Linked DNA regions of Notamacropus eugenii. The protein of the gene in region 2 interacts with the protein of the main gene of each other region in a biochemical or structural test. Links are inferred from orthologs where the notes say so. Each region holds a gene or a part of one and is shown on either strand. Other genes may lie near its edges. The genes, in order: NPPA, NPR2 and NPPC.

Region 1 (9,903 bases), on a different chromosome or scaffold from region 2:
GAAGTTGTGTTTCTGGACATTGCTATCTGTGAGGCTGTTCTGATACAGATCTGAGCAATGGCGTGCACCCATTGATGGGACCGTCTTAGGGAAAGGGCTTCTGGGGCCCCTCCTGAGAACCTGTGCAGTGTTAATGTGCAGTATTGCCTTGCAACAGTCATTTCAATGGTAACATTTTTTTGTGTTTGCACTGTTTGTTTGTAAAATAATGTAAGCTAATTCCAATGTGTATATATAGTATTTTTTTTAATTTGTACAAAAAATATTTTTATTTGAACTTTTGGCACTTGGAAGTCCTCATTGTAACCATAACATGTCAGAGAATAAAATGTCCTTGTCTGTGTCCTTCACTCTAGTTTCTGTGGTACTTTTTACTTGTCTTTTCCCTTTGTAGTCAGTATGTAAAAATTAGGAATCTAGGATTGCTGTCCATCCTTCATTCTCAAAGAGGAACAGTGAGATCAGGAGGATGATGTCTTGCAAGTGAATTGGATGTAAGTGAGGCAGAGCTGTGCAAAGTCAACAGCCTCATTCCTCCAGAGTTACTGGAGTCTACTGGCAAGACATAAGTCAGAACAACTGTAAATGGCCCCAGATGCAGTGGGAGACCTTGGCCTTTTAAGCTAAGGTCTTTCCCAGGTGTCAGTTTGTCTGAGGCAATGCCCATTCAGTGATTAAAGGCTAAGAAAAATTGAGGTAAAAGGTAGCCTAATTTGCCTTTGCAAAAGAAACAGTCAGATGAAGTGGGATTCTATAGACCTGCTACTACTGTCCCAGGAGCTCTCCTCAGGGTGAACTCTTATTTGGAGATTAGTTTGTGTCAATTTAGAGAGGCCAGCCTCTTAGTCTCATTCCTAAAATTTTATAGTATCTGGCTACTTCCAGCTTCTTCCTACTGAGACAGTGAAGTCTGGGACATACTGATGACTGAATTTCTTATGACACCAAGATTTTATTTGTCTCAGAATATCCTATAGTGTATTTGCAAATGTGTCCCAGTTGGCCAGCCCCTATGTCTACTGCCTTTTGTGTTAGGAACCTCAAAGAATCTAATTGCCTTTCTGTAGCCAAAAGGGCTTAGGAATTTCCCCCATACATCCTTCTGAAAAACAAAAGACATGAGAAAGGTAGACAGGGATTAGGGGGTGTAGATGTATTTCATTATTCTCTATGAGTGTACACTAGGATTCATTCTGGCAGACATGATTACAAAAGTATGTGTATGAATTTTAAGATTAATATATTTGTTCTCTTGTTGGTATCAGAAAAACTGGATGAATTATCATGAGGGAGGTTATGGCCTTCAGAACCAACAGCCTCTGAAACTAAGATGAAAAACCCAGAAGAGCAAAGAACATGAGGAGATAGTAGAATAGACCTAGAAAGGACATTAGGGATCACAGCACCTAACCACTTCATTTCATAGAGAACACTTTGTCACTTCCCCAAGGTCAAGGAAGTAATCATCTGGCTGACTCCTTAGGTATATGTATGCCCAAATCATCCATGACAAGGATGGAAAGCCCACCACCTCTCACTAGCTATTCAAGGATTTTATTACACTGAAGTTCTTCCTTTCAGATGAGATCTTTTTCTACTTTTTGCCAAAGTGATGTGGTTCTTTTCTCAGTTGGGTAGCATTATCGCTGGGAAGTGGTAAGCTTCTAGATAATTCTAGTTAGTGTTCTATTCAATAATGAGTTTGAAAGGGCCATGCTCCTGACAAGAGCCCCTGTTTTTGGCTCTCAGTCATAAGTGCTCATCATGTTCAACCTGCTGTTCGTGATGAAGTGGATAGGATAGCTCACATCCCCTGTCCCGTCTTTGTCTTCCATCCAACACGGAGACTAATGGCTACTGCATTTCCTTATCCTTTTTTTTCTCCAAATTTCCGTACTTACTGAGAACAAGGCTGTTAACCCATGTCTCCAGCCAATGTCTGCTGCCTGAGAAATGCCTGCTATTTTACAAGGACACTTGTTAGAGCCTAATAATTCAGGCCTCTAGCTCTCTCATGAAGATGGAATGGTGATTATATTTTAAAGTTTAGATGTTAAAATCCAGGAGGTTAGTAAGCCTTTTTAAAACCTCATTTACACTTAGTAAATGTTTTTATTCTTCTATTCTTCCTTCAATTCTAGTTCTATCTAGTAACCAAAAATAGTGCCAAACCAGACCAACCCCAGCAGTCAGCTCTCAGAATTGCCTCATTAGAAACATGTGCCCCAAAACTTGTATGTCAAAAAATGATGAGGAATTGCATGGGAAAAGAAAAAACCATACAATGTTAGATATGAACTACATTAGCCTCGAGAAAACTTCACTCGAATCGGTCTAAATAAATAGCCATTATGGCTTTTCTTTGCCTCCGCAGATATGATGAGAGGTGACTCTCTGGCTAAGTGATTTTTAAAAAAAAGAAAGAAAGAAAGAAAATTTTGCAGGCAGTATAATAGTCGGAATAGACCTGAATTCCCCCACTGTTTCCCTGTAGGAAACAAAGAATCACACCAGCCCGCGGCTGTTTCTGTCCATGGTGCTGAAGTTTATTCATTCTTGAACTGCTTAGAATTTAAACTCAGATCTAATGAATGGACAAAAACCGCCATAACGCCATCACACCATCACACCATTTTGTCTACATTCAAAATTACATTTGTGAAACAGCAAAAGAAAGCTGTAGCTTGAACCAGGAGCACAAAGCCCAGTTTGCTAATAACAAATGGACAAAATAGAGCCAAAGTCCCAAAGGATTTGATCTGACAGGGTCCAGCACGTGTTTTCCTCTTTGTACATTATCTTCAGAACTACAAAGAGAAGACAAACATATTTGGTTAGCAATATCCCAGCTAGATGACCTAGAGAAGGTAACATGAGATTGGAATGGATAGCAGGTATAAAATGGACAAAAAACACCCTTTATCCTTGATCTCTTAAACCACTCTTCCTTAGCATATTAAAGTGGATCCTCTGGGCTTCCAGAACTAGCAGACAGTTCAGACCATAAAGGGTAATTAAAGAAATCCTTATGTATTCTATTTTATTCTAGACTTTGGTGACTCTGGAAAAGAGTGAAGCTGATGACTTTGTGCAACTCTGCCTCACTTAAATCCACTTCACAAGCAAGTCAAGAGGTCAACCATCATCCACTATTTTACCTTATTATTTGCTTCATTTACATCATAATGTCATTGACCCTCTTCAAAAATGAAGGACCACCACCACCACCAACTCATTCTATTTGACCCTTTAATTTTATAACTCTAGAAAGGAAAATAAATGAAAGCCCCTCACATTATAAAACAATCTGGTCCTATGGAAGTTTTAATTCTCTAATACATCTGGTGATACCCCCTTGGAGAATCAAGCATTACTGTTACAGTTTTGTAGTTACAGATAGTCCCAAAGGCAAGAATGATATATTTCAAAGGGAGATATGTATCTAGTCCCTGCACCTGCTGAGGATTTCACTTGGTAGTGAACCCCTCTACCTCTGCTTGAATTTTAGCATAGCATATGTCTCTTTTCTCCCTAACCCATTTCCAGATCTCCTTACCCTAAAACTGTTGCAGCCAAGTCCACTTTGGGCTCCTATTCTATCAATCCTGCCCCCAAAGCAGCTGGAGGACCTCCTCAGACTACGAGGGGAAGTCAAGAGTGCCCGAAGCTTATTCTTCAGGAGGGCAGATCTCTCAGATTGCTCCCAAGTGCCCCGGTTGAAGTTTCCCTCCCGCTGGGCTGGGCTGACTTCCCCACTCCAGGAAGAGAGGGAGCTAAGTGCTTCCCCAGCCTCCTCATTCTGCTCATTAAGTCCTTGTGAGGCCATGACCTCATCTTCTAAAGGTATCTTGTCCTCCAGGCGGTCCAACAAATTCTAAAAAATCAAAAAGGGAACAAAGAGAGGAGTTTATGAGTTCATTACATTGGGGAGTAGTGACCAAAAAATCAAAACCGTACCAAAATACCACCCCTGGTTTCTATTGTCCCTGACAAGTCTCTCTCTGGTCCTACCTTGAAATCCACCAGGTCATTATTGGACACAGGACTGGCTTTGGTTCGACCTTGAAGCTGCAGGGTCAAAAGGAGGAGAATGCTGATGGAGATGGTAGTGAAGGAGCCCATGCTGTGATTGGTCGTCAATATCAGTCAGTCAAATGCTTGCTGTCTCTTCTGTCTCCTCTTCGCTCTTGGTCTTCTGACCCTGTTGTCTTATGCCTCCCAGTCTGCCTCTTTGTCTTTTTATATCCCCCTCCAGCACCCTGAGACCGCCCAAGGGATGTACCCCTCCCCATTCTGTCACTTGCAGTGATAAAGGACTGGAGTGAGCCAACAGAAGATGTCCTTTTAAAGTTATCAGTCCAGTGCAGACTGTCACAACCTCATTGTAGAGGTGGCTTCTGCACTTCAACGGTTGTCACAGCCTCAGGAACCCTAGGCTGCAAGAGTCACATTCTTGTTGATTTGGCTCAAGAGGTTTCACACTTTAAAGGTGTGAGAGGAACCAAAAAAATCCTTGATTATCTCACAAAGATGCCTCAGGATTCTTTGCTTCCTTGCCGTGGAAACAATTTAGGGAAACAGGATGGCTGGCCAGTACCCATCTCTCCCCAAGCTTGTTACATGAATGCTAGGGAGGTCCAAATAAGGACAAGAAAGAAGGAAATTACAGGCAACTTTCAACCTAGAGAAAGAGTTCAAGCTGACACAGACAAGCCTGGATGCTTGGGACAATTTTATACTCTTTCTTACTTAATTCAGATTCTTTCTCCTGCATGTGAGTTCCCAACTGTGGCTATGGTTCCAAGCAGCTGGGTAGAGCAGAGGTGAGTTGTTGTTTTTTCTCATAAAGACTGTGAAGTCAGCACCAAGGATAGAATGTGAGAAACACCCCATGGGAGAAACATCCTAATCATTCTGCTCCCACATATCAACACCAGAGAATATTTTCCTGAAGTCAATATCCCCCACTCACCACCCACAATACATACCCTTACTCTTCCATCACTTTTCCCTCTTGTAAGGTGTTGATAGAAATGATTATGAACCTAGAAAAAGCCACCATCATCATTCCATTGCCATGTGGTATCCTAGAAGCTATTAAATCAAAAGTCTGAAACTTGTATTGAGTTCTAGCCTTGCCAGAAAAAAAAAAAAAAGTCAATGGGGTGGGCCAATGTGGAGAGCCCTTTGTGGCACATACTAGTCTCCTAGATCTTTCTCTACCTCACATCAGTTGGTGCAGGCAAGTGACAGACATTTGGACCCCCATTTCTCAGTCAAAAACTAACAAGGTTCAATCAATATGAAATTTTTACAAACTGTTTAGCACTGTACTAGACATTAGCACTTCCTAGGCTTATAGATTTAGAGTGGAAAAAAGCATTAAAAGTTAGTGAGTCCACTATGTTCATTTTATAGATTAGAAAACTGAGGCAGACAGGTGAAGTGACTTGCTCAGGGTCACACAGCTAGTAAGTGTCTGAAGTAGGATCTGAACCCAGGTGTTTCTGACTCCAAGTCCACCGTACCATGATACATCTTTAATTCAGTAGTCACTTATTAATTACCTACAGTGAGCAAAGCAAGTGTATTTAAGGAAGAATACTAATTGGGAGGGATAACTTACAAGAAATGTGTTTAGGACACTTGATTGAGATTTGAGAATCCAGAACCTTTTACCCAGCAGCCCAAATCACAGAATCTCAGAGTTGGAAGAGACATCAGAGACCATCTAGTCTAACCCACACAGTGCCCCTCCTTTCAGGAAGCTTTCCTTGACTGATATGAGCCATGGTCTAAAATTAGCCATCATCAGTCCTTCTGTCACTCTTGCAATGGCTGCCTACCTTTGTGGGGTCTTTCCTACCTTCTTCTATTAGACTGTAAACCTCCTGAGGGGAGGTTTTGTGTAGTCGTTATGTACTCATTCATCCTAGGGGCAGCTAAGTGGTGCAGTGGATAGAGCACCAGTGCAGGAGTCAGAAAGACTTGAGTTCAAATCTCACCTCAGACACTTGACACTCACTGTGTGACCTTGGGCAAATCACTTAACCCCAATTTTCTCCTCCTGGGTCATCTCCAGTCATCCTGATTCAGGTGGCTCTGGAGGAAAAGTGAGGCTGGTGACCTGCACAGCCCTCCCTCTCTCAAAAAAGAAAAAAGACAAAGTGAAGTGCAAGTCATGTCATTATTTCTCTGATGGCATGGTCTTCTTTGACAACAAAGGACAAACACACATGTACAAACACACCTAGCACATTGTTATATGCTTCATGGATGGTCTAAAAACATGTTAACTGATAGACCTTGTACTTAATCCTAGTTTTTGGTTAGATTTGGAGAAATTCTCCATGGTGCTAATTTGTTTATAAAATGAAGAACTGATCCTGTTCCATCCCTGCTTCTCATGGAACACCATGACCAGGTCAGTTAGGTATTGTGAGCTTGTTTGTATTGTGGAGTCACAAAATCTGACATTTACAAAGGATTTTAGAGGCCAGCTAATCTCACTCATATCTGAATAAAAGAAACCTTCACTTGCATGATCTCTGCAAAGCCATCCTCTAGATTCCAGTTGAAGACTTGAAGCCGTTCATTCCATTTTCAAACAACTCTAATTGTCATGAAGTTTTTCCTGGCATCAAACCTAAAGTTGCCTCACTTCAGCTTTCAGCCATATTTCCTGGTTCTGCTCTTGGGAGCAAGACTAATCCCTCAAATGCCAGAAGATAATTGTCATGTCTTCCTGAGTTTTATTCCCTCATCCAGGCTAAATATCCCAATTTTCTTCATGAAATCTAATATTTTTCTAATAAAGATTGAATTGCATTGCTATAATCCTCAGTAAAATTACTTGACCAGTGGGTTTCAGGGCTTTGGAAGATGATGATGAAGAGGAGGAAGATAACTGGCATTTGTGTGATGCTTTAAGGTTTGCAAAGTGTTCTACATGTTATTTAATTTGATCCACACAAAAACCTGAGAAGTATGTGCTATTATTATTCCCATTTTATAGACGATGTATCTGAAACAGAGAAAGTGAAGTGACTTGCCCAGTGACCCACTTGAATTCAGGTCTTCCTGACTCCAAGTCCAACACTCAATCCACCTAGATCCCCATTGATGAAGAATACAATATTGAGCCATTTTCAGTTGGAATTTGGTAGGCCAAAGACAACATTCTCCTAATGATGCTGCATGATTCAAGTCATAAGTGCATGTCAGGTTATTTTTAGTAAGGCTAGTTTGACAAGAAGCTGTGTTTCCGAGAAGTAATTCTTTCTAAGCATGTCAGCCTGCCCTGTCCTTGCCCTTCTGAGACAGCCCTCTGATGTGGGTGTTATCTTGGCAAATGGCATACCAGAAATGACATAGGGCAGTCTCTTCTTTCCACCCTCCCTTCCCTGACCCCTCCCCCTCTCCAGCTGCTTTTGCAGGCATCTTGGGGTAAAAGCAGAAGTCACTGTCCAAGGTTCCAGATTATTCAGAATCTATTTTCTTTTTCCTGAAGACTTCTTTCCTCTCTGAGAGCTAGTATATGGAAAGACAATAAAACTTGATGGGATTTTTGGATTAAGATCTGGAATAGACCTTAGGTATTATCTCATCTAATTCCAAAATTTTTCAGATGGGGAAACAAATAGCTTGTCTTGCATCGTTACCATGAATATTGATTTAAAGCCCACCTGTCAACTGTTTATTAGCAGAAGAGGCAGGGAAATCACAGATAATCAAGATCCATATACAATCCCCTCTCCACACACTCCAGTTACACTGGGCTCACTGGGCTTCCTATGTCTCAAACACACCTCTGTGGTTACTCCTTTTCCTGGCTGTGTCTGGAAGATGCCCACTTCATCTCAGTCCTACTCATCCTTCCAGAAGAACTTCAAACACCATCCCCTCCCTGAACCCTTCCTTCTTTCCCCAAACTCAAGCCATAAAGATACTTGGATCTCTCCAAGTACTTTGTGCCTCTTAAGGACTTACCAAATTCTCCCATTCACCATAGTTATTTGCACATTTGCTATATCTCTCCCCAAAATAACTACCATTTATTTAATTGTGCTTACAACTTACATAGTCCTTTATATATTTTATCACATTTGATCCTCACAATAATATTTGGCAGTCAGTGCTGGGTGACCTCACTTAAACTTTGACTGCCTTAATTGTATAATGATAGCATTTACCTCCTAGAGTTATTGTGAGGATCAAATGAAATATTTGCAAATTACTTAGCACAGTGTCTGGCTCTTAGGAGGTATATGATAAATGCTAGATTCTGGCCTGTCTTCCTTCTTGACTCTAAGTTCAGAATGAAGGATTTAGAATTTCATTTTCCCATTAGCTTTAACCTCCTCCCCCTACCCATCAATTTTTCTTCTGGGGCTTCCAACCAGGAGAATTGTGTGACTTGACTTTCCATTCCTTTCCTCGCCTTTTCTCAACGTTGTATGGTATATTAATGACCAATGAGATTTTCAAGAAGCCATGTTGTAAGAAGGAGAGGGAGAGATTGCAAAAAGGTTTGGACATCAGCCTTTTCTTTCCCTTCTGGCATCTGAATAGAAAAATATTAGCCGTATTTTTATGCCCTGGAACAAAGGAGGTCATTTGCTGCAGAGATGAGTTGGAGGGCAGATCTTACTGATTCAGTGCTTTCTTGCCTTCTTTGGAGTTGCTCTTAGCTCCTCCTTAGGAGCAACTGTTATCATAGTAAATGTCATCGATATCACACACATATGGAAATCAACTGAGAAAAGTCCATGTCCCTACAGCACTTTGTAGTTTACAAAATGCTTCTTGATCTTCAATTGTGTGAAGAGCCGACATGTGGAGCAGAAAGTAGATATATCTTGGTCCTGAGGACAGAACCAGGCATGGAGCTGCAGAGAAAGGGGGCTGGGTTTGTTAGAAGAGTTTGTTGTCATCATAATAAGAACTATCAAAAAAGGGGGAGTTTGCCTGGGGGAGGGGTAAACTCTATCTCAATAGAAGTCTTTGAATAAAAGTTGGATAACCACTTACTTGTCAGGAATGTTGTAGGGCTGGAAGAGACCTCAGAGGCCAATGGGTCCAACTCCTCATTTTATAATTGAGGAAATTCAGTCATCTAGAGAGTAAATGATTTGCCCAAGGCCATACAGGCTGGATTTGAACCCAGTCCTCAGACTCATTTTACAGAATAGGCATGTATTAGACTAGATGGCATATGAGAATCCTCTGAATTCTATGTGTTTTTATGACTATTCATTGAAATGAACAGGGGAAGTGTTACTTTCTCCACTTTATGGGTGAGAAAATTGAGGTCCAGAGTAGTAAGTCTAAAGCTTGAATTGAGAACTTTATCCACACCTGATGTCTCTAACTCTAGTGCTATTTCCTCCATACCCTCATTGTCTCCCATTGGTATGTGGCGTCCCCTACAGGACTAAGGAAGAAATTACTGTGCTTTGCCCACAGTAAGCACTTGATGAATGTTAATGAATGCTGTGGTCTATGTGGAGAATGGAGGGAGATGGACAAAGCCTCTTTGTTGAGAATTCTGGGGCTACATACATTTCTTTCCCCCTCACACACACTTCTTTGGTGAAATGGGAAGGCAGCTACAGCAGAGAACAGAGAATCATGAGCCAAGGATGGGTCAGCTCTAGAAGGTTTGAGACTTTCAACATCTTTTTCCCATCTCTCAACTACCCACACTGAGAGTACTCTGCCATCCAAGCCTGGGTTTCTCCAATACCCCATTAAAAAAGGGCTTTATTCCCTTATCTGGTCCCTTCATTTTGCCAAAACTTATCCAAGATATACTTATTCTTCCAATGAAATCTACCTTGAACCTGATGTGTTTGGGGGGGTTGGAAGAGTAGGGCCTGCCTGAAGTGGGGGTTGAATAAAGTT
Region 2 (10,692 bases):
CTCCAAAAGCAGGAGAGGCTTACAAAAGCCTTCATCAAAGCCACACTTGAAAAGTACAAGTGCTTTACAGAGCAACACAGAGCAGTGGGAAAGAAATGTTGCCAACAGGGAGAAAAGAGGTGGGCTGGGCTGAGAAAAACAAGAGAGCAGGTAACTCTTACTTCTGAGTATGATTCCCAGATTTCCAACTCTAGTCCTTACAACCCTCCCCTTCCCACCTGAGCCCCAGTCACAGAGCTGCCTATTAGGCATTTTTATTTTGGTGTCTTGCTTTTATCTTAAAATCAGTACTTCGACAATCAAACTTGTCATCTTCCCTTCCAAAACTATCTCCCCCTAAAACCTTTTCTATTTCTATTAATAGTACTCCAATTCTCTCCACACTCAAATCTTCAAGGCTATGGCTGATTTTCCATCTCTCCAATATCCAACCAATGACTAAGTCCTGGAGATTTATCTGACAAAATATTGTCTTGCATTCAATCCTTCCTTTCCATAACCACTCTCCTCACCCTTATGACCTGAGGTTTGAACAATGCAATAGCCTCTTCTAGGCTGGTGTCTCTCACTCAGGTGGTTCCCTCTCATATCTACCCCCAATGCCATTGACAGAATTATTTTCCTAAAGATAACTCTGATCATGTCACTCACCTCCTCAAAAACTTGCCATGAATCTGCCCTACTACAAATAAAGTCCAGACTCTTTAGCCTTGCATTCAAAGCCTTCCATGATCTGACTTTACTTATATAACCTTATTTCACATCACTCACCACAATAAACCCTCCTTGGTCAAGGTAATCTCTTCACTGTTCCCCACGTAATATGCTGTATGTCTAACCTCTCTGTGTTTGCTCATGCTATCCACATCTTCCCTAGCTTCTATCCCTGAGCCCATTCTATCTTTATGACCCACCTTGAAAGCCAAACTTAAATCTCATTTCATCATGAGGCCTTCGCTGAGACCTCTGCCCATACAAAATTCTGCTTCATTTCAACTCCAAAAGCGAGTGCTATACCAAATGTTTTGGCACAGTATCTTAGACTGCCTCATCAGTAGCTAACTGTCCTATGTACACTTTGTTTCCCAAGTAGGAAATAAGATCCCAAGGGCAGGGAATGTGTCTTTTTCCCCTTCATTTTCTCCACAGAAGTCCAACACACAACTGGGCACATAGTAGGTGTTCAGTACAAACTTGATTTGTTGCAAAAGAAAGAGCAGGCCAGGATCTTAAGAACCTTGCCATACACAGTAATAAAAAGTCACAGGAAAATGACTTAAAGGAAATGGATGGATCATTTTCTTTATAAAATTCATACTCTGGCTCTGGGAATGCCATAGGGTGGGGGAAGAAGGGAGCAATTTACCAGGAAACACTTCTCTCCCTTTTCCTCTTTCCACAGCTGACATTCCACCTACCCCTACTCCAGCTTCCATCCATGTTACCTGAAAGGCCTCCCTGAGGGCCTGGGTCTGCTCTCCAGTTCGATTGTCTTGCCAGGGCCGACCTCGGAGGCGGGTGGGGCTGGCACGGAGGCTCTCCCCAAAGACATCCAAGTAGAAGAAAACGTAGTCTCCGTTGGTTAGGTTTTCTCTCTGGGCCTGAAGCAGGATCTCATGCAGCATCTCCAGGGGGCCACAAATGTACACAACTGAGGGCAGGTATTTAAAAATGGAGTACCCTTAGAAAGTGCATCCAGCAACTCCAAAGTAGCCCTTTCCCCTGGGCTTGCAAGCTTTCTATTCTCTGTATTCCCTTCAGCAGAAAAGTGAGAGCCTAAATCCATTTAAGTCTCCAGAACATACATCTCTTTCCCCAGGAGTGTGTTGAAAGTACCCTGGGGCCATAAGGAACATCTGGCATAAGTCATAGCTTGACCTCCAGAGGGAGGAAGGGATGTATGTTCTCCCTATCCCCAGCCCCTCTCTCTCACATTCCCACTTCCTCCTAGTCTTCACTTCCTCAGTTCCCCCATTCTGCTTCTGATGGGAGGAGGGTTGGGAAGGAGAAGAGGGGTGGAAGGAAAAGTGCAATTTAGGGGTCACGAGCTTAGAAACTTTAAGTTTAAATCCCGACTGGCTTTGCCAACCAAACACACTCAACTTTAACCCAACTTATTGCACCCTAAGCAAAGGACATTAGTTTGAAAAGGATTTTAAATACAGCAAAAGGCATCTGGAAATAGAGGAGGAGTATCCTTTGGAGTTTAGACCATCATATCCACAACTACAGGATAATTTCATTTCCAACATTCTATACCTCCGACAATACCACAAAACCTCATGGAGCTCAATACCCCCACTCCTCCCTACAACTAAGCCTCTCACACACTATTCCCACATGCTCCTGTTACTTACATCTTCACAATATCCCTTAGTCTTCCAACCACAATGGCCAGATGCTTCCCTTCATAATCACTTCTCCCCCTCACAAACCCCATTTCTGTCCATATCCATCTTAAAGCTGTCCACATGACTCCTCAGTATCAATCTTTACTAACAAGTTCCTGAAATCTCCACTTTGCCTCCACGTACCCCTGAGATGCCTATCTCTAGCTACATACAACCCCAAGTGAAAGCCCAAGCTACACTCACTGCGCCCATTGGCCCGGATGAAGTGTGTAGCCTGCTCAGGACCACCTGGTTCCCGGGTATACACCTGGTGCTGCACACTGAGATTGTTGCCTTGCAGGGCCTCAAAGACCCCTTCAATTGTGAAATAATGGGGCCGGTCATCAGTGCGGGCATCCAGATACAGCAAAGCAGCACGGGCACTCCAGTTGAAGTGCCCATGCAATGTCACCACAAACTCGCCCAGTTTAGGGGCAGAGGGCCCAGTGCGAACCAGTGTTCTGTAGTGCTCACTCTTGGCCGCAAAGCCTGAGGCCACAGCACCTGCAGTCAACAGGGGCAGCCGCCAGTGTGAGGCAAAACGTGCCACAGAAGCAGCAGGGTACACACAGCCAGGACCCAGAAGAAGGTCAGGGTCATTGTATAGCTTCAAATCCACAGCATTCAAAGGCGCCAGGTACTCGGAGCAAGCGCCATCCATCTCAGAGCTGACAAAGTGCAGGTCCACTGGCAATGCTCTCCCCAGGGCTTCCATGGCCAGTGTCACAGCAGGGCCCACCCGTGGCCAAGCCCAGGCATAGCTTAAGTTGTGTTCAGGTAGCACCACTGCCAGGGTTAGATTCCGGGGCTCAGGGGGGCGTGCCCCACCCACCAAAGCTGCCAGCATCAACAGGATTGGGGGCAGCGCCATGAGGAGAAGGCAACTGCCCCACAGCCTCAGAACTCTGAAGTCCCTTTCGGCCTATAAGGGAAAGACACAAACCCCAGCCTGAGACCTCAAGGAACAAGGCTAGGGTAGGGGCTAGGAGATGGCTGGGGAGACTGAAGCTGGGACAGCTTAGGCACAAAAATAGAAGAGAAATAGGAAGCTAGAGAAAAGGACCAGGAGGGAAAGTAAGGATGGAGTTGGGGATGAGATGCCCTGAAGCTATGGTGGAATAGAGGGCCTGGGGTGAGGGGCATGGGGGGGCCTACGAAAGGAGGAGATCAGAGGGGCCTGAGGCTGAAGAAAAAGAGGTCTAATGCTGAGGGAAGCCCAGGAGCAGAAAGGGGTCTGGGGTGGAGATGGGGCCAGAGCTAGGGCTGCGGGGGCCTGGGCCTGGGGGCCTGGGGCTGGGGCTGGGGCACGGGGGGCTCGCCCTCCCGGTGGAAGGGGAGAAGGGGAGGGGCAGGGAGGAGGCACAGGGGTGTCCATGTGGGGGCAGGAGGGCCGGGAGGAAGGAAGCGGAGGGGGAATCTCCGGGAAAGGCTTCTCCCGAGGGGGCTGACCTAGCGGACCAGGGCGCTGGTCCGGTCTCAGGCTGCGGCCCCGCCCGTGGCCCGGCTCGGCTCCGTGGCGCTCGGCTTCTCCCGTGGCCCGGCCTTCGCTGGCCGCCGCTTCCTGCCGTCCGGGCCCCCGGGGCCCCGTGTACTCGGCCAGCTCCGCCCGGCCCGGCCCGGGCCCGTCTCCGCTTGCTGCGCCGGTGGCGGCCGAGTGCGACTCCCGGGGCAGGCCGCCCGCCCCCTCCCGGCGCCTCCCTCCCGCGGCCCCTGCCCCCGCCCCCGCCCCGGCAGCCCCTCCTCCTCCCCCTCGGGCCCCACCCTCCCGAAGCGGCGCCCGCCGCCTCCCACTGGGGCTGGCCTCCCGCAGCTCGGCGCCCCCGGGAGACCCGGCACCCCTGGGGGACCCGCCGCCCTCGGGGAACCCGGCGCCCCTGGGGGACCCGCCGCCCTCGGGGAACCCGGCGCCCCTGGGGGACCCGGCACCCTTGGGGGACCCGGCACCCTCGGGGGACCCACACATGGGAGACCTGCCGCCCTCGGGGGACCCGCACACGGGGGACCTGCCGCCCTCGGGGGACCCGGCACCCTCGGGGCACCCGCACACGGGGGACCCGCACACGGGGTGTCCGGCCCCCTCACCCGGAATGGCCTGGCTGCCCCCAAATCTCTCCGAAGCATTTCTCCCGAGCCCACTTTCCCGGGGCCCCCTCCGAATAGTCTGTCTGCTCAGAGTCCCCTTTAAGTCCATTTCTCTAAAAGGCGACCCAGAACCCCAAAGGCCCACTAAACCCTTCATCGTTTTACTTCTGCAGGACACCCTATTTTGAGGGGCTGGCTGGTAACATGCGTTCCTAGAAGGCTTTCTGGTGATATTCTGCTGCTCTTCCGAGGCCTTCCCTTTCACTCCTTTCTGTATCTCCAGGTCCCTACAGGCCCCTCAGCTTCCCAACAAACCTCAGTGGGATTCTTATCTCCCTACTATGCTACAAAGGCTTGTGAGCTCCATCTTTCCTCTCTTGTCTTTGCAGTTTCCAAACCCATGCCATACTACTTCATCTAGGGAAAGGAGCAGTACAGCGGCAGGGTGGGCCGGTAGGAAGAGCCATATTCCTCTTCTAGGGCTCACCACCTATCTGGCCACCAGCCAGTGAGCCGCCCTCTGCCTCAGTTTCTTTATTTGCCAAACGACCAATTGCACTGGATGGTCCCTGAACATGATCCTCTCCAGGTACTACTATATTGTATCTGTTCCTTTGTCTTGCTGATTGGTTGGTGCACTGCCCCACGGTGCTCAGCAGCACAGGCACTTAATCTATCTTTGCTGACTAAGCAGACTTTCTTACAACCATGAAAATTTAGTTCAACCCAAGGCCAGAAAGGTATTTCTTTTGGTTGAACCAGAACTAAGTAAAAGATAGAATATAACAAGTCTTCAACAAGTCCTTGACAGCTGAACTGGGCCCCAAAGTCTTCATTTCCAGTTTTGTGCTCCCTCTTTGAACCACCACTCCTTTCTTTACCCCCTGTAAGTCTAATTCCCTTCTGGGGGTCCTGCTCTATCCCTGAAGAACAGCTTATCATATCATGAATTGCATCATGACTGCTAGGAGGGAATATAAATGAGACCTTGAAGAATTCCTTTTTCAGAAGAGAAAAACTAGAGATGAAAAACTCACTTTCTTCCGACTAAAGTGAATACTGGCCAAAATCAGGCCAAACCTCAGGGCCCCTCAGCTAGCCCTAGTTGCACATCTTACGATTTTTTGCCTCTGATATTTTTACCCCTTCCAGCCACAGTTAAACAGATGTCACTGCCCTGGGGAGAGAGCTCCCAGGCAGACAGCACACAGTTTCTCTGAAATTAAGGCGACATCTGGTGGCTTCAATGTGGAAATCCAGGAAAAATTCAATTCAATAATTCTAAGTTATTTATTGACGACCAACCAGGCAATGGACTGGGGAATGTAAGAAAGGTATATGACAAATCTGGTGTACAGTTATCTAAATCCAAAACCATATGAGCTGTATCAGCACTCAATCAGTGAGGTAAAAATAAATCCATCTCATCTTGAATGACAGCGAAAAAGGAGGAGAGAGCCCAGAGGGAAAGAAACAGATTGAGATAAACATAACTATAGTCAGAGATTAAGCAAATAACATTTATTAAGCATTCATAAACAACATTTTGTGCCAGATATTGTACCTGTCCAAAACAACAGTCCCGGCTATCCAGGAGAGTACAATCTAATGCCAAGAGTGACAGGTTCTAGACACTCCAGAGTCACATAACTGCCTACAAACCTACCAGAAGAAACAGGAGTTAGCTAATTTTCTGAATGTAACAAAAACCAATGCATTTTGTGTCAGAGAACTTGAATCAGAATCTCATCTTGGCTATGTATGGAGCCCACTGCACCAGGGGTCTGATTTATATTTGACCGCTGGCCACAGACAGCTCCAGAGGAGAGAGCGAGGCTGGTGACTCTCCACAGCCCTGCCTCACTTAAATCCAATTCACTCATAAGTCATGGTATCACCTCCCTGATGCCAGGGTCCTCTTTGAGAACGAAGGACGAGCAACAACAACCTATATGGACAGGTCACTAACCTCCTCTGGAATCATTTCTTCATCTGTAAAATGAGGGAATTAGACTAGATTATTTCAAAGTCCCTTACAGCTTTAAATCTGGTGAACAAATTCTATTTTATGCTCCTGATATAAATCTTTTCTATACTTCTGATTCCTGTCACTGAAATTTATTCTTATCATCTATCTAGAGGACTGAAATTCCAGCTTCAGGTAATTCAACTTTAGTTATACGGTGAGCTCACTGTAATCTTTGCAAAGCCTGAGTGCTTTCAGGACCCTTACAGGTCCAAGTGGCTTCTGTTATCCCACATATATATTCCTTAACTTTCTAGTCCCCTGTGAAGGTCCAGCCTAGACAGAGGCTGGATTCCTAGGTCTGGATCCAAGTATGTGGAATGTCTGTTACAGAGATACACTGAGGGAAAGACAGGGTCCTAGAGGGTAGTGTGGTTTGGAACCACTCTTAATTCCACAAGAATGACACAACCCAAAGGAATTGAATTCTAGGAAAACCAGCAGGGTTCAAGTTCATACTAATATAAAGTAAACCCCAAACCCAGACCTCCAAAGTCTGATCCCCAGTACTCTCCAGAAGTATCTTAAAACTAACCTAATGTCCCAGACAGAGATGAATTTTGAATTCTCAGGTTTGCTTTAGACAAGAGGAACATAACCTCCTCTGGGGCCTCCAAGATTTCAGGGCAATAAGTACTCCCTCCCCATGCCAGTCACCTGTCTCACGTTGCCAGGTCTATGCCAAATCAGAACATTTGGGATGTTCTTTCTTCACATCAGATGGGACACAACACCAAGAGAACCTGCCACAAAGGACACAGAAGAGCTTTGAGAAATAAGAGAAACCAATAAGGTGTATTTCAAAATAATGCTTTTCAATATGGAGAAAAGATAGGGAATAGAGGTAAGGAAGCAAAAAGGTTTGTGAAAATAAGTTGGAATTCATTTAAAATTTTTTTCATAGATCATCTCATCTTTTAGCCAGAGCCAGGGTGGTAGGCAAAGATTCCCATAATCCCAGACCATGAGGCCACTACTGTGCCCCACGCCCACATACACACACATATTCCCAAAGGGCAGGGTCACCCTGTAGGCGATGAGGTATATTGTAAGACAGACTCCCATGACCAGACCAACTTCATTTAAACCTTAGGGCTGAGGGCCTGCCAACAGAACTGCCATAATTTTATTGAATTCAAAAGACAAATGGCTACTAAGCCCTGGACCAGGAAGGTGGACACGGACTGAAGCATTCAGTGTAAGTAATTTCCTTAGTTTTAAACAGCCTCCTCTCAGCAAAGTGGGAATTGATTTATCAAATCTGTAAAATCTAATCCATATGCTAAGGGATTTTAGCTTGCATTAACATATTTTTAAGCTAATGAATTTCTACAATCGTCCAAACATTTAAAATTATTCAAAAACATTTTAAAAGCAAACTCTGGCTCCCAAATTACTTGCCTGGTAATGTGTTCTAAAAGGTCTATCTGAGGGTTCAGAAAGGCCTGCTTCACAAAAGGGTATTCCAGGGAAGTGGGGCCTCCAGTTTTCAGCTCCTAGTGTTGGAGTTTGAGAAATGTCAGCAGAGGTGATCGGGAACATCTTCAGCATCCCTAGAAACCAGGCAAACCCAAATTTCAGCCACGCCCCCTACACCTAGGCCTAAAAAAACAATTCAACAAATGCGGACTACAATAAAATATTCTTTATGCCATAGCCAGTACCTTTATGGAAGCTGTACAAAATGAAACCATAAACATTCAAGATAGACAAAAGGCTTCTATAAGCCTGTAAATGACAGATACACGAAAGGTGAAAAAGCTATGGGTGATTTAACTAAACATACCCTGAGGCCACTCTTGGAGGCCACCAACTGTTTCTGCCATGAAGAATATCTCAGCATTTTCAAGAACAGAACAGTGAACTACATGAAACGGGACAATGTCTTTTCTGTTCTTGTACCACATGAGTAGGATCCATTCTTCTTTGAGATCCTAAAAGGCAGGTTCATGGAAATCATGTAATAGAAAAAGCCTTGACCTGCCCTTGAAATCAGTGATCTAGATTTGAATGCCAGTTCTATTTACTATCTAATGTGACTTTGGGGCAAGTCACTTAAACTCATCAGGTCTCATAAAATGAAGGGATCAGAATTTATGATTTCTAAAGTTGGAATATATGATTTTCTGGCTCTAAAAACCTAAAATTTATCATCTTCCTATTAAGGCAACTAGATGGTACAAGATAGAGTGCTAACCTTGGAGCCTTCCTAACTGTGAAGTTCAACTCTGACTTCAGACAATTAGGAGCTGTATGACCCTGGCAAGTTTCTTAACCTCTGTCTGCCTCAATTATGGGGGCACTAATAGCCCATACCTCCCAAGACTGTTGTAAAGTGCTTTGCAAAACTTAAAGTACTAGAAATGCTGTTGTTTGCCATTGTTAAAAGTGTCTTAGAAACATTTGGCTCTTTATACATCAGACAAAAAGCTGGAATGGAAATGTGACTCCACTCCTATCACCTACAGCTGAAAATACGCTGCAATCAATTTGTTGAAAGTAGCTAATTCCTTTGCAGTGGGAGAAATCTGACTAGGACACCCCAACAGATGGATCCTCCCCTCCCCATCTGGCAAAATTATAGACTATAGGGAGCAGGTGACAGAGATAACAAGATATTAAGGAATTACATGAATTGTAAAGAAGTGTTACCCCTCGACAAGGCGTGAAGAAGTTATTGCATCAACCACAATGAAATGAAAGAGTACTTTAAAAAACAACATACCCTACACCGAGGGCAAAAGTCAAGACATAAGCCTGAAAAAGTTATCTTTTCTGTGATGAATCAAGATCCAGAGAAGTTCAGGTCCAGAGAACTGAGCTGATCTCTAGAGTACAGACACTGTGCCCAGGAGGAAGATCCTGAAGACATCACAAGAGAACAAGGTTGTTGAACCTGAGATCTGGCGGTGTAAGTTTCCTATGCCATATGACTCCTCCATATGTGTGCTGCTCTACAAGGGAACTTTCTGGGGTCCCCATTTTATGGGAGAGTATGCTCTAGGTTTATGCAGTGTTTTATATCTACTACTCTTAGGGTGTCATTTCAGTAAATGCCTTTGTTTGATCTAATTACATTCTCTGGTTGGACATTAAAAGTTGTAAATTGTTAGGGCTCCTCTAGGCCCACAGAGCATCTGATCCAGGCAAGTTCTACCGCCAGAAGTGGTGATACATTTTAACAAGAGGAACATAGAAACTTACCCATGGTATGGGGCTCAATAGAGGACAGCAACAATGTAATCAACATGCACATTTAAATTTTAGATTTTAAGCTATTTTGATAAAGTCCAAGAAGAAATTTTAGAATCTTCATGTTAAGGCCCATTTATACCCAGTGATACTACTACTAGGCCTGCTACTCAAACAAGATCAAAGAGAAAGGAAAAGGATACATACACACAAAAATATTTGGAGCAGCTCTTTTTGCAGCAAAGAACTGGAAACTGTGAGGGTTGGGGCACGGCTCAACAAATGACGATATATGAATGAAACAAAACGCTACTAAGCTTTACGACAGTTATATCAAACTCAAACAGAAACAGATTCCTGGAGGTACATATTAACTTAGAAAACCACATATTGACATCACGTGGGACTGTATTCTTAATTATTGTTCCAATTACGTTTTAATATGGTTCCCACCACACTCCCTCAGGCTGCCAGTTTGACACCTCTGCAATAAGAAATGATGAAAAAGATAGTTTCAGAGAAACTTGGGAAGACTTGTATGAAATGATACAGAGTAAAGTTAACAGAGTCAGAAGAACAATTTCTACAGTAACCACAACATTATAAAAAAAAAATTGGATAACAAAGAACTCTGATCAACACTCTGATCAACCATGATTCCATGGAACCAAGATTTAGAATCCTGACAGAGGAGATCAACTAATACACAGAATAAGATATACATTTCTGGACATGGTCAATATGGGAAATTTTTTTGCTTGACTGTATATTTGTTAGAGGGGTTTTGTTTTTCTTTTTTCAAATGGGAGGGTAGGCAGTGGGAGGGAGAAAAAAATGCTTGACCATTGGGAAAAAAATGAATTGAATCAAAAAAGAAAAGCCATACTTACCCAAATGTAAAATGGACCATAACAGCACATATTTCATCAACCAATTTCTGGTTGGAAAAAAAATTATACAAATAGAAAACATCTGAAAGATTACTGAGTCTAACACATTCAT
Region 3 (10,390 bases), on a different chromosome or scaffold from region 2:
TTCTTTGTAGATGATGAAGCCAAGGCCTGTGCCCAAGGTCACTCAAGGTCACCTAGTGGGTGGGAAATCCTGAACTCTGTCCAGGAGCCAGGGCCTCTCCTATGACTAAGACTGAGCATACTCTGGTCCCTGCTTATGTAAGGTTCTGGGATTCCTGGACATGTTGGTCGGAACCCTTAGATGCTGCAAAGAAGTGAGGGTTAAGCAGTCACACAGCTAGGAATGGTCAGAAGTAGGACCCCCAAATCTTTCAGCCACGGTGGCTCACTGGTAACCAAGGCAGTTCTCATAAAAACAGATAAAATGTTAGTTCCTTGAGGTCAAGGACTGTTTTGCCTTTAAATTTTTTTTCCAATGAAGATCTAGACTTGCAAAGAGGGATAGGATCAAAGATTTCAAACTGAAAGGGACCTGAGAGGCTCTCTAGTCCAACCCCCCTCATTATACAGATGAGGAAACTGAGGACCACAGAGTTTAAGTGACTTGCCCAAGGTCACACACGCAGTAAGCATGAGCAGTGGGATTTGAATCCAGATCCTGTGGTTCTGTACTCTTTCCAGCTGTACCCTTCGGTTTCACTCAGGATTATCAGTCCAGAAATGATCAGAAAAGGAGGTGGGCAGATCATGTGATATGAGTGACAGGTGGACAGGCCAAGAGCTGCACTGATTGTCTTGAAATGCACAGAGACATAGGTGACCGTCACTGCTCACAGTTCTCTGAGTACTTTCAGGCAGATACAGCTCTTCCTTTACAACAACACCATGTGAGTCACAGACTTAGAACTACAAAGGATCATTCCCATTTTGCTGATGAAGAAATAAAGGCTTAGAGAGGTCAAAGGGACTGGGAATTTGTTCTCTCCATGCAGGCACCCAGCACATATTGCTAGGTTTGCTACAATGGAGGCAAAGAGCAAAATCTAAGAATGAGGTGGATGAGAAGGCCCAGACATTGGATGAGCTGGTTTCTCCTGAGACCCCAGACTTCTACACTCCTCTATGACAAATCCTGGGAGGGTGGAATGAGTGGATTCGGATGTTTGGGACAGTCAATTAGCATGAAGCACCTTTTGTATATCAGACTGGGAGTGAGGTGCCGCCTGAATACTGAAGAGCCAGTTATTTATTTCCATTTACCCATTTGTGAAAGGAAGAGAGTGGCAGATAATAAAGAGGAGAAAGCCGTTGTCTCCCCATCATTTCTGGGAGATCCCTACCAGGTCAGGGAGATGTCTGTGCATTTTTGCTGAAGTTGGGAGAAGGGATGAACAGCTGAATTCTAGAGCAGGTAGAAGGGGATGGGAGGGGTCTCACTCCGTCTTCCAGGTAGCTCTCCCATATTGGAAGCTACAGAGGAGCTTGAGCTGCCACTCTGTAGAGGGAAGGTGTTTCCAGACTGATGGGTTTGGATGCAGTCCAACCAATGAAGGAAGGAAGTAACGTTTACATCTAGTGGGATGGCTCATCTACTTGATTTGACTTCTCCTTAAGCTGGGATAGGGAAACCAGGCATTCCTCACCAGAGGTACGTAGGATGCATTAGCATCAGGACCTAGGAGAGGGGTCTTTGTTCCTGCTTAAAAAGAGGCTACGGTTGGTTGGTTTGTTTTCAATCCAACATCCTAGGGTGAATTCAGGTAGAAGATTCGAACAGTTCAAAGCCAAGGTTCCACACCCTTGGGCGCAGTGTCTTCTGCACAGGGCTCTCAGGAGCCATGACTTGCATGGGACAGACTATTTTTCTGTATACAGGTTATTTGAATTGTGAATACATATGTATATACACACACAGTTAATTGTTTATTTTGCAGTTAAAACAGGAGGGATGGAGTGCCTATTTGCTTTTGTGAAGAAGTATCTTCTTTATAAACATGGGACTTAAGAATACTTTCTCTCCACCCCTCCCCTCTCCCCACCCCATCCTGGTACAATTAATGGGCATCCTACCCCCTGGGACTCCAGCTGCAACAGATCCATGTTTTTTATTTCTCAGTGTACTCATCTTTGGCTTTGAAGTAGTATCCTCAACAGTCCCCCCTCCCTTATACATTTTTTGACCTCTCACCCAACAGGGATAACTGCCTTGTCTGCTCTTAAACAGAGAAAATGCAGGCTTCTGCTGCCTGGTGCCATCAGAGGAGACCCTTGCCTTTCAGGATTGTGGGCATGAAGCCCAGGCTATAACTGCCTTCCCTGAGCCATGTGCTGGCTCTTTGCCAAAGCTGGCTACAGCCATGGCATAGAGATCCCTCCCCTGCAGCTAAGGGATTATGGAGTGGTAGGGAATCATGGGAATATGGTACAGCTGTGCCTTTGGGATTGTTAGCCTCATTTTACAGAAGAGGTGGCTATCTTTAGGTATTGGAAGGCCCATCATGTGGAAAAAAGATTAGTCCTTTTTCCCCAGAGGGTAAAATGAGGAGGAAGGGATGGAATCTTTGAGTCAGGGGTTGGAATCTGACTTTCCTCCTTATTAGTTGTGCACCCTTAGTCAACTCTCTTTTCTCTGAGCCTCAGTATCCTCATCTGTAAAAGGGAGAAGTTGGACCAGATGATCTCCAAGGTAGCTTAAGGTCTTAGTGTGGTGCAGTGTAAGGAAGTCAGAAGTCCTGGGTTCAAATCCTGCCTCTGATGAATAATACCTGGGTGACCTTGGCCAAGTCTCTTCCCTTCCCTGTTCCTCAGTTTCCTCATCTATAACACGAGGGGGCTGGAGCACACAATCTATGAGGTCTCTTCCAGGTCTAACTTAGTGACCCAGAAACAGAGAAAGAGACACACTCCCAAGGGTCTGTACCCCAGTTCTCTTGCCATTGACTCATGACTCATCTAGTAGAAAAGAGTTTGGGATTTGGAATAGAAGGACCAGAATTCAAATCCTGACTGCAGTTAGGGTTCCTAGATTTAGATCTGACCCAACCCCTATTTTACAGATGGGGAAACAGACCCGTGAAGGCATGAAGTGCCAAAGGTCATGCAGGGCAGAGTCAGGGGATCTGAACCTGGATCTTCATACTCCCAATCAGCTCTATCCCTTTCACTTGCCACTTTGTGACCCTGGTTCGCTCTCTGGTCTCAGTTTCCTGATCTATAAAATGGGGGTCAGGGAGGCTGCTGGACAGGGAAGTTCTCTGACAGTTTCTAGATCTTGGACACTGAGACTCACGCAGGCACCTGCTCCAGGGCTCAGAGGAGGAGGGGTCCGAGAAACTCACCGCCGCCAGGGGTCGCCGCCTTAGCATCCCAGGCCGCTCATGGAGCCGATCCGGTCCAGCTTGAGGCCGAAGCAACCCTTGGACAAGGCCTTCTTGTTGACGCCTCTGAACTTGCGCGCGTTGGGGTAGTCGTGCAGAAGGCGCGCCCAAGCCGCCCTCGAGCGGGTGTCCACTCGCAGGTCGCGAAGTAGCCGCGCGTTGGAGCCCTTGGCATTGGCCCCACCGCCGCCCCCGCCGCCGCCCCCCGGCACCTTGTCTCCCTTCTTGTCCCCGCCGGCTGCAGCCAAGAGCCCCGCCAGCTCCTCTCCAGGCGGGGTCCGCGGGGGCTGTCGGGGGCAGGAGGGATGTAGACGTAGACCCCTTTTCCAAAGCACCCTCACTACCCCCTGCGCCGCAAGATCGCGGATTCTGCCCCGACCTGTGCCCCGACCCTTCTCCTTCTCGGGGAGCACCATCATTCACCTGCTGTGCCATCCAACGCCCCCGCCCTCTTTCCCTCCAAGTGACCCTCTGGTCTGGGGACTCTTGGGCACTTTGCCTGTGCCTCCCGCTCCTGGGCGCATCCTAAGTTTGGCCAGGTGCCCGTCCCTACTTCTGTCACCCGGGAAAGGGAAAAAGGGGGTTTCTTTCTTGTGAACTCCAAACCACCTCCCCTGGGCCCCGGGGATCCCGCGGGGCCGGCCGACTGTCTAAGTACTTCCCAGGGACCCGGGAAGGACTCTCCTTCTCCCCAGGCAAATCTGCCCCCCCTCCCCACCTCCTCTGCACCGGGGAGAGAGGGGCACCCACCTTCTGCGGCGCGGCTGGCTTGGCCTCGGGGCGAAGGGAGAGGAGCGTCAGAAGCAGCGTCCAGGCCAGCAGTTGCGAGGCGTGCATGGTGCTGGGGGATTCTGGGGCCCGCGCAGGGGTGCAGGGGTGCAAGGGCTGCGGAGAAGGATGGCTAGCCGGACTCCGAGCTGGCGGCGGGCGCTCGCAGCTGAGCGCAGCGCAGCGGGCGGAGAGCGGCGCTGCCCGAGCTGCCCAGCGCCGCGTTGCAGTGGAGTCGGAGTGCCGCGGGGGTGCCAAGTGGACTTGCGCTCGTTTGCGGCTGCTCAGCTGCGCCGGCTGGGAGCGCTCTGAACCCGGCTTCTCCCCTCAGTGCCTTTATAAGCCAAGCGGCCCACTGATGTCATCCCCCCGCCCACCCCGGCTGGCGGAGCCTGGGGCTCCCGCGGGCGCTCCCGACCAATGACAAGCCGAGGCTGCAGTCCCCAGGGCCTGGGAAGGGGGCCTGGGAGGGAAGTTAGGGGGAGCGGGTGAGGGGGGGATTCAGTGTTGCGCCCCGGGGGGAGTCTCGAGCCCAACTCCGCCCGATGACCGGGGCGCCAACAGGGCTCCTGCTGGGAGCTCTGGAGACTGACCAGAACTGGGGGGTAGGCTGCCTTGGGGTGCTGGAAGTTAGTGACCCGTCTCGCACCTGTTTGGGCGGGTTCTAGGGTCCAGTTTCTATCTGGTGAGGCAGGAGAAGGGAGGCTGTCCGATGGAAAGAGCTGGGGACTGAAAACCCGAAGCCCTTGACTTTAACCCTGGGTCTCGAGCTCCTTTCTTTCCCTGGATCTCAGACCTCGGTTTTCTTGTCACCTGCAGGAAGGCTCCTGAATGGGTGGGTGGGTGCGTGCGTATGAACATCAGTGCCCGGGGCTGGAGCTTGCACACCTCTGACCGTAACTCCACCAGGGGCCGCCACTGCTGGCTCCTCTCCAAGAAGAGATAGCTGGTCTCGGGGCTTGGTGCTGCCCACCGGCCCGGGCACTTTGGCACACTGAAGGAGAGCCAGCCCTTTGGCCCCACGGGGGGTGGGATGGGGTTATCCACGCCGAGCGCAAGTGCGCACAGGAGTGGGTCAGTCCGGTGATGGGTGGGCTGTTTCGCGGAGCCTGCCGCTGTTCGATTCTGGCCAGGTGGCCTCTTACCACTCCGCACTCCCGAGGAGAAAGGACAGGCGTGGACTCTGGGCACTCCCGTCTCCTCTGCCCGCCTCCTCTTCTTCTAAGACACATTTAATAAGTGGTGTTTGCATTGCGCTCAAAGGCTTAACCCACGAGATTTCATTTGAACCAGACAGGAGGCGGGCGCTACAGGTGTTATTTCCCTGATTTTACACTTGAGGAGACTGTGACCTGGAATGTAGTCGTCAGCCAGTCAGTAAGGGAAGCAGTCTGGTATGGTGGGAAGCACCTGGGTTCAAATCCCACCTAAGATACCTTAGGCATGGTACTCAATGTCCCTGTGCCCCAGTTTCCTCAACTGTTTAACGAGCGAGCTGGCTCTTAGGGGCCGAGTCCCACGCCACTCCTGCGTTGCCCCTCGGACTACACGCCAAGATAGGAAGGCCGGGACCTGTCCTGTGCCTCACCCGGGGCTGTGAGCTCGGAGCGGGTGGCGGGGGCTTCCTTGCGCACCTCAAACATACTAGAACTCGCTCGCCAGGCTCTTCTGGTTGGAGTCGAGAAAAGAGTCAAGTGGAAAAGGAGGGAACTAGCGCTTAGCATTCCCTCCCTCCACCCAGGAAAGAGAGGGTCCCCAGAAGATGCAGAAGACGGCTGAAGAGGAGGACGAGAGATCCTAGATTGCTGCTGGGTACTTCCTTTGAGGGATACCCCTAGATACTTCCCTTGGCCTCCGTGAAGCCCCTTCAGTAGACGGGGTGGGGGGGGGAGATCTTGGTGCCCCCATCCTCCCACTAGGGATCTCCCCTGAAAATTCCAGGCGCCCTAGGGTCCTATCGGGAGAGGCAGGAGGCTTGTGGGGCTCATTTCAGAGGGGCGCGGGAGGAAATCCCATAAATTTCACTGGAATTGACGGGGCGTGGTTGGGGTTGAGGACCGACTGGACGAGCATCGGGGAGGGATGCCCTCTCGCACCCCACCCATCTCGTTTTACTGAGGTGCTCTGCCTGGGCCAGATGCGCGGTTCCAAGGGCACGGTCGGGGGGCTTCCAGCTTCCAGCTGCTTCCCCAGGGTCGCCCTCTCCCCTGCAGCTCGAGTGTTCGCTGATTCACCCCTTTTCCTTTGGCTCCAGCCTCTCCCGGGATGGTGGCTTCTTTTCCCTCCTGCTCTCTCCTTCCCTCTCCAAACCTTAAGAGCAAGGGGATCCAGAGGGTCGGAGACTCGCCCAGATTTCCTCTTCTCTTGGAGCTGCGAACAACTGGGGGGCCTCGCTTCGCTTCGGCTTTGCCCTTAGGGCACTCAGAACTCGAGTGAGAGCTCCGGGACCCTGATGCCAGACGGCCTCCTCATTTTAAAGAGAAAGAAACTGAGGCCGAGGGAGGAATAACTTGCCCGGAGTAACACAGATACTAAGTGTCTGAGGTGAGATTTGTATGCTGGTTTCCCTGTCCGGTGCCCTAACCATTATACTATACTGCCTCCCCTTTTTAAAAAAATGGTGATCTGTATGATGACCACTAAGATGACTGAGTTTTTTTGTCTGGGTTCTGTAGTGAATTACTTTATAGTTTGGGACTAAATAACCTCTCTGTGCCTCAGTATCCCCAAAAGTATAACGGAGAATTCTTCATGTTCTGACATTATCTTGTAGAATTGATGAAAGGTCAAAATTGGAACTGTATCTAAAAAAGCTACAGAAATACACACACACACATACACACACACACACATTTCCCCATTGGAGAGAAGACCTCCACAGACCCAAAGTTGAATTCTGTTTCTACCTAATCCAGGGGTGGGGAACCTTCAGCCTCGAGGCCACATGTCGCCCTCCAGATCCTCAAGTCAAAGGGCTGAACTAGAGGACCTAGAGGGCCACATGTGTACCCCATCACTAGGAACCTCTTATGTGGATTTCTCTGACCACATTTAATCTCTCTTCATGCCCTGACCCAAGGCTTCCCCTGAGGACATCCGAAAAATACACTTTGTGTCTGTGTCTCTACAGAAAAAGAAAAGAGAAAGAAAAAGAAAAAAGTCTCACCTTCGCATGCAATTTGTTTCATATATGAAATACAGGCTGAGTTTTATTTAATCCAACAGAAAAGACACAACTGATCTCCTAAACAGTCCAGGCTTCTTCCTTTTCAGAGAGTATAAAAGCAATCCTTTCGATGGGCCAAGCATCATCCTGGGTGGTGGGATACAATGAGGAAATCATGTCAGCCTCTGCTCTCAGGGAGCTCACATTTTATCAGGGCAGAGGACCCAGCTACAGAACAGATGGCACTTCCCCCTCCCCCAGTCCTGAGGGCGCAGCAGCAAGGCAGATGATAAGATATCTTCTTGAGTGCCATTTCCACTGATAAAAAATCTGTTTCTGATTTGACGGTGCCAAAGATTTGGGGGGCAGGAACTTGTTTTGTGGGACTTTGGCTGACCCAGCTGCTGTTTGGGTTGGGGGGGGTGCAAGGATGCAGCACCTGCAGACACTGGGCTCCTGTTTTCTCAAGGGTTATTGGATGATGGCTGTGGAGGCCTGCTGGTGGTCTGGAGGTGGGGAAGTGCTACTATGCCCAAGGTGCTGGGCTACTTAAACTGAGGCATGAAGGCAGGTGGATGACGCCCCTTCAAGTAACCGGAGTCTGTGTATCCTACAGGTTTCTCTCTACCTGTCTTAACTGGTTCTCTCTAGATTGACAAAGAGATTTTCCTGAAACACGTCTGTCCAGTCCCTCCACTACTCAATAAACTCCAATGGCTCCCCATTACCTCTATGGTCAAATGCAGACTCTTCTGTTGGGCATTTAAGAACCTTTGCAGCTTGTCTCTAGCCTACCTTTCTAGCCTTGTGCCTACTCCACTCTTAACACTCAGTGGTCCAGTCAAACTGACCTCTTTCTGCCTCTCAGGTACTCTCCACATCATCTCTGGTCTCCTTGCCTAGAATATTTGACGTCAGGGTGTCTTGAGTGACCTTCTATATGAAACCTTTCCTGATCCCTCTTCCCTAATTTTGCATGTGCCTATAACCTACCTTTACAACCTTTTCACAATAAAATGTGGCTGAGGACAGGGACTGGTTTTTTTGGGGGGATCCACACCTATGTCTGGCATACAGTAGGAGTTTAAAGAAATATTTGCTGATTGATTCTCTCTAGATGTCCCTTCTAAAGGCTCAGTCTGAGGGTGTAGCCCAAGTATTCTGGAACGGAATCAAATCAGTCAGTGGTGTACTGCAAAGAACTGTATTTGGAGACAAAGGTCCTGGGTTTGAATTTTGGCTCTACCTGTATAACTTTGGGCAGGTCTAAACCTCTGTTTTCTCATCTGGAAGAGAGGACTTCTGAGGTCCTAATTCCAACTCTATAACCCAGGTTGAATACATTTCGTGGGCCTGCATTCCTTAAACTATAACGCATGAGCCCCCCTCATGTGTTTCCCTCCAGCAGTCAACCAAGTGGAAAAATGAGCACAAAGAAATTTCCTGAAAGTGTACAGCAATCAAAATAGGTACAGAACATCTCCCCCTTAAACTGGGGGTATACTTCCATAAAGTCAATGGGAAGAGAGGACAACACATAGAATATACTAGTAGAGATGCACAGTCACTAGATTATGTATATAGCCAAGGCAATGCATACACCTTCTGCGACCTTTGGTGACATCTGTATGCTGCTCCTTATTGGGCACTATATCTCTAGTGCTCAGGTTCAGCTGAAATCCTGGCCTAAAGTATTGGTAGGGAGAAACTGGAGCCCATACTCTGGGACCCACCGGGGTCTCAGCTCTGGCTTGGACCACATCCCAAGTAGGATCCACACACAAGGTGTCCACCTCTCAGCTCCTTTCTCTCCATGATCTGATTTGAGCAGGGTCAGCTCCTCTACTCTGAGACTTTCTATCTGTCCAGTTCTCTATTTCTCCAGTTTGTGAGTGGGAGGAGGGGACCAACCTCATCATGTTTGACAATCTGCATCCATTTCATGGGTTCCTAGGTCTAGAGTTAGGAGGGACCTCAGAGGCTACCTAAGTTAACTCCCTCATTTTATATTTGAGGAAACTGAGACCCGGGGAAATGAAATGACTTATTTGTCTAAGGTCACACAGGCAAAAGGAAGGAAGAAGGAAAGAAATATTTATTAAGGGCCTTCAGTGTGCCAGGTCCTTTACAACTATTTTTTCATTTGATTTTCACAACAATCCTTTGAGGTAGGGGCTATTTTATCCCCATTTTAGGGTTGAAGAAACTGAGGCAGAGATTAAGTAACTTGCCCAGGGGCACACAGCTAGGAAGTGTCTGGGGCTTGATTTTTGATTCCAGGTCCAGTGCTCTACTTCTGGTACCATCAGCTTGCCTTCGAAGCAGGCAGAGAAGCCAGCTTCCAATCCAGGTTCCACGGTTCCAAAGTCAGCCCATTCCTGACTTTACCTCATTGCCTCCCTGACCTTTTCATGTGCATGTGGGTCATTCAAAGTTTCAGGCTTTGCAGGCTGAAGATTCTGGGAAAGCTTCCCATCCATTGCTTTTTGCTGGTCTCTGGAAACTACCACCTGATGAGTCCAGCTGCTCTCTTCTCCCTGTCCTGGGGCCCCTTTTCACTGCCTACCTCAGATGGTCCCCAACCCCTTTCTCCTGTGCAGGCAGATGATGTCATTATTTATTCTTTCACTTTTTTTTTTTAATTTAGAGACTAAAAAGGGGAAAAGCTTTCTCATTTTCAGCAAACTTCTCTCTCCTACAGTGAATGATCAATGTAATTATTTAGCACCTACTGTGTGCCAGGCTCTCTGCTAGGCACTGGGGAGACAGCTCAAGACCAATAGAACCACACCCTCTGAGATCTTCACTTCTATATCGAGAGGATTGGGGCCTCTGGGGGAGCTGGGGAGCATGTGAGGACATCCAGAGGCTCTGGGGTCAAGAGCAGCAGCTCAGCTGTTTCAAAGACAGGAAGGACCTGTGCCAGAGAAGGGCCCATTTCCCAGGCGAATAAAGGAGGCCCCCAGAGCCAGGAGGCTGGGACTCAGTTCTTAGTTTTCTGGCAACGTTCCAGATCTAAGGAATATCCATCCCCTCAACCTCTCAGAGCCCTGACTCCATCCTCTCCCCCCGCCCCCAAAATGAGACTCTCAATGCCCTGGCCCCCAGGCATGGACTTGGACTGCATCTGGAGTCCTGGTATCTGTCCTGAATGAGCCTGGGTTCTTTCCTTTTCCCTAGACCTCAGGGGCTCTTGGTCC

What was found.
Region 1: the proteins of NPR2 (region 2) and NPPA form a complex in vitro, tested with the Homo sapiens proteins (3 studies listed by BioGRID). The link is inferred for Notamacropus eugenii from reciprocal best matches to the Homo sapiens genes NPR2 and NPPA.
Region 3: the proteins of NPR2 (region 2) and NPPC form a complex in vitro, tested with the Homo sapiens proteins (3 studies listed by BioGRID). The link is inferred for Notamacropus eugenii from reciprocal best matches to the Homo sapiens genes NPR2 and NPPC.

The regions. Positions count from the first base shown.
Region 1 is NC_092876.1:51,273,192-51,283,094, forward strand, and holds NPPA (natriuretic peptides A), read right to left. Parts: upstream 4,220-9,903; 5' UTR 4,123-4,219; coding exon 4,012-4,122; intron 3,875-4,011; coding exon 3,557-3,874; intron 3,339-3,556; exon of another isoform or gene 3,110-3,338; coding exon of another isoform or gene 3,050-3,109; intron 2,808-3,049; coding exon 2,802-2,807; 3' UTR 2,525-2,801; downstream 1-2,524.
Region 2 is NC_092872.1:79,356,232-79,366,923, reverse strand, and holds the start of NPR2 (atrial natriuretic peptide receptor 2), read right to left. Parts: upstream 4,066-10,692; 5' UTR 3,840-4,065; intron 3,313-3,839; 5' UTR 3,262-3,312; coding exon 2,595-3,261; intron 1,652-2,594; coding exon 1,446-1,651; intron 1-1,445. UniProt on the Homo sapiens protein: Receptor for the C-type natriuretic peptide NPPC/CNP hormone. Has guanylate cyclase activity upon binding of its ligand. May play a role in the regulation of skeletal growth.
Region 3 is NC_092873.1:58,222,232-58,232,621, reverse strand, and holds the start of NPPC (C-type natriuretic peptide), read right to left. Parts: upstream 4,902-10,390; 5' UTR 4,094-4,901; coding exon 4,007-4,093; intron 3,544-4,006; coding exon 3,238-3,543; 3' UTR 3,218-3,237; intron 1-3,217.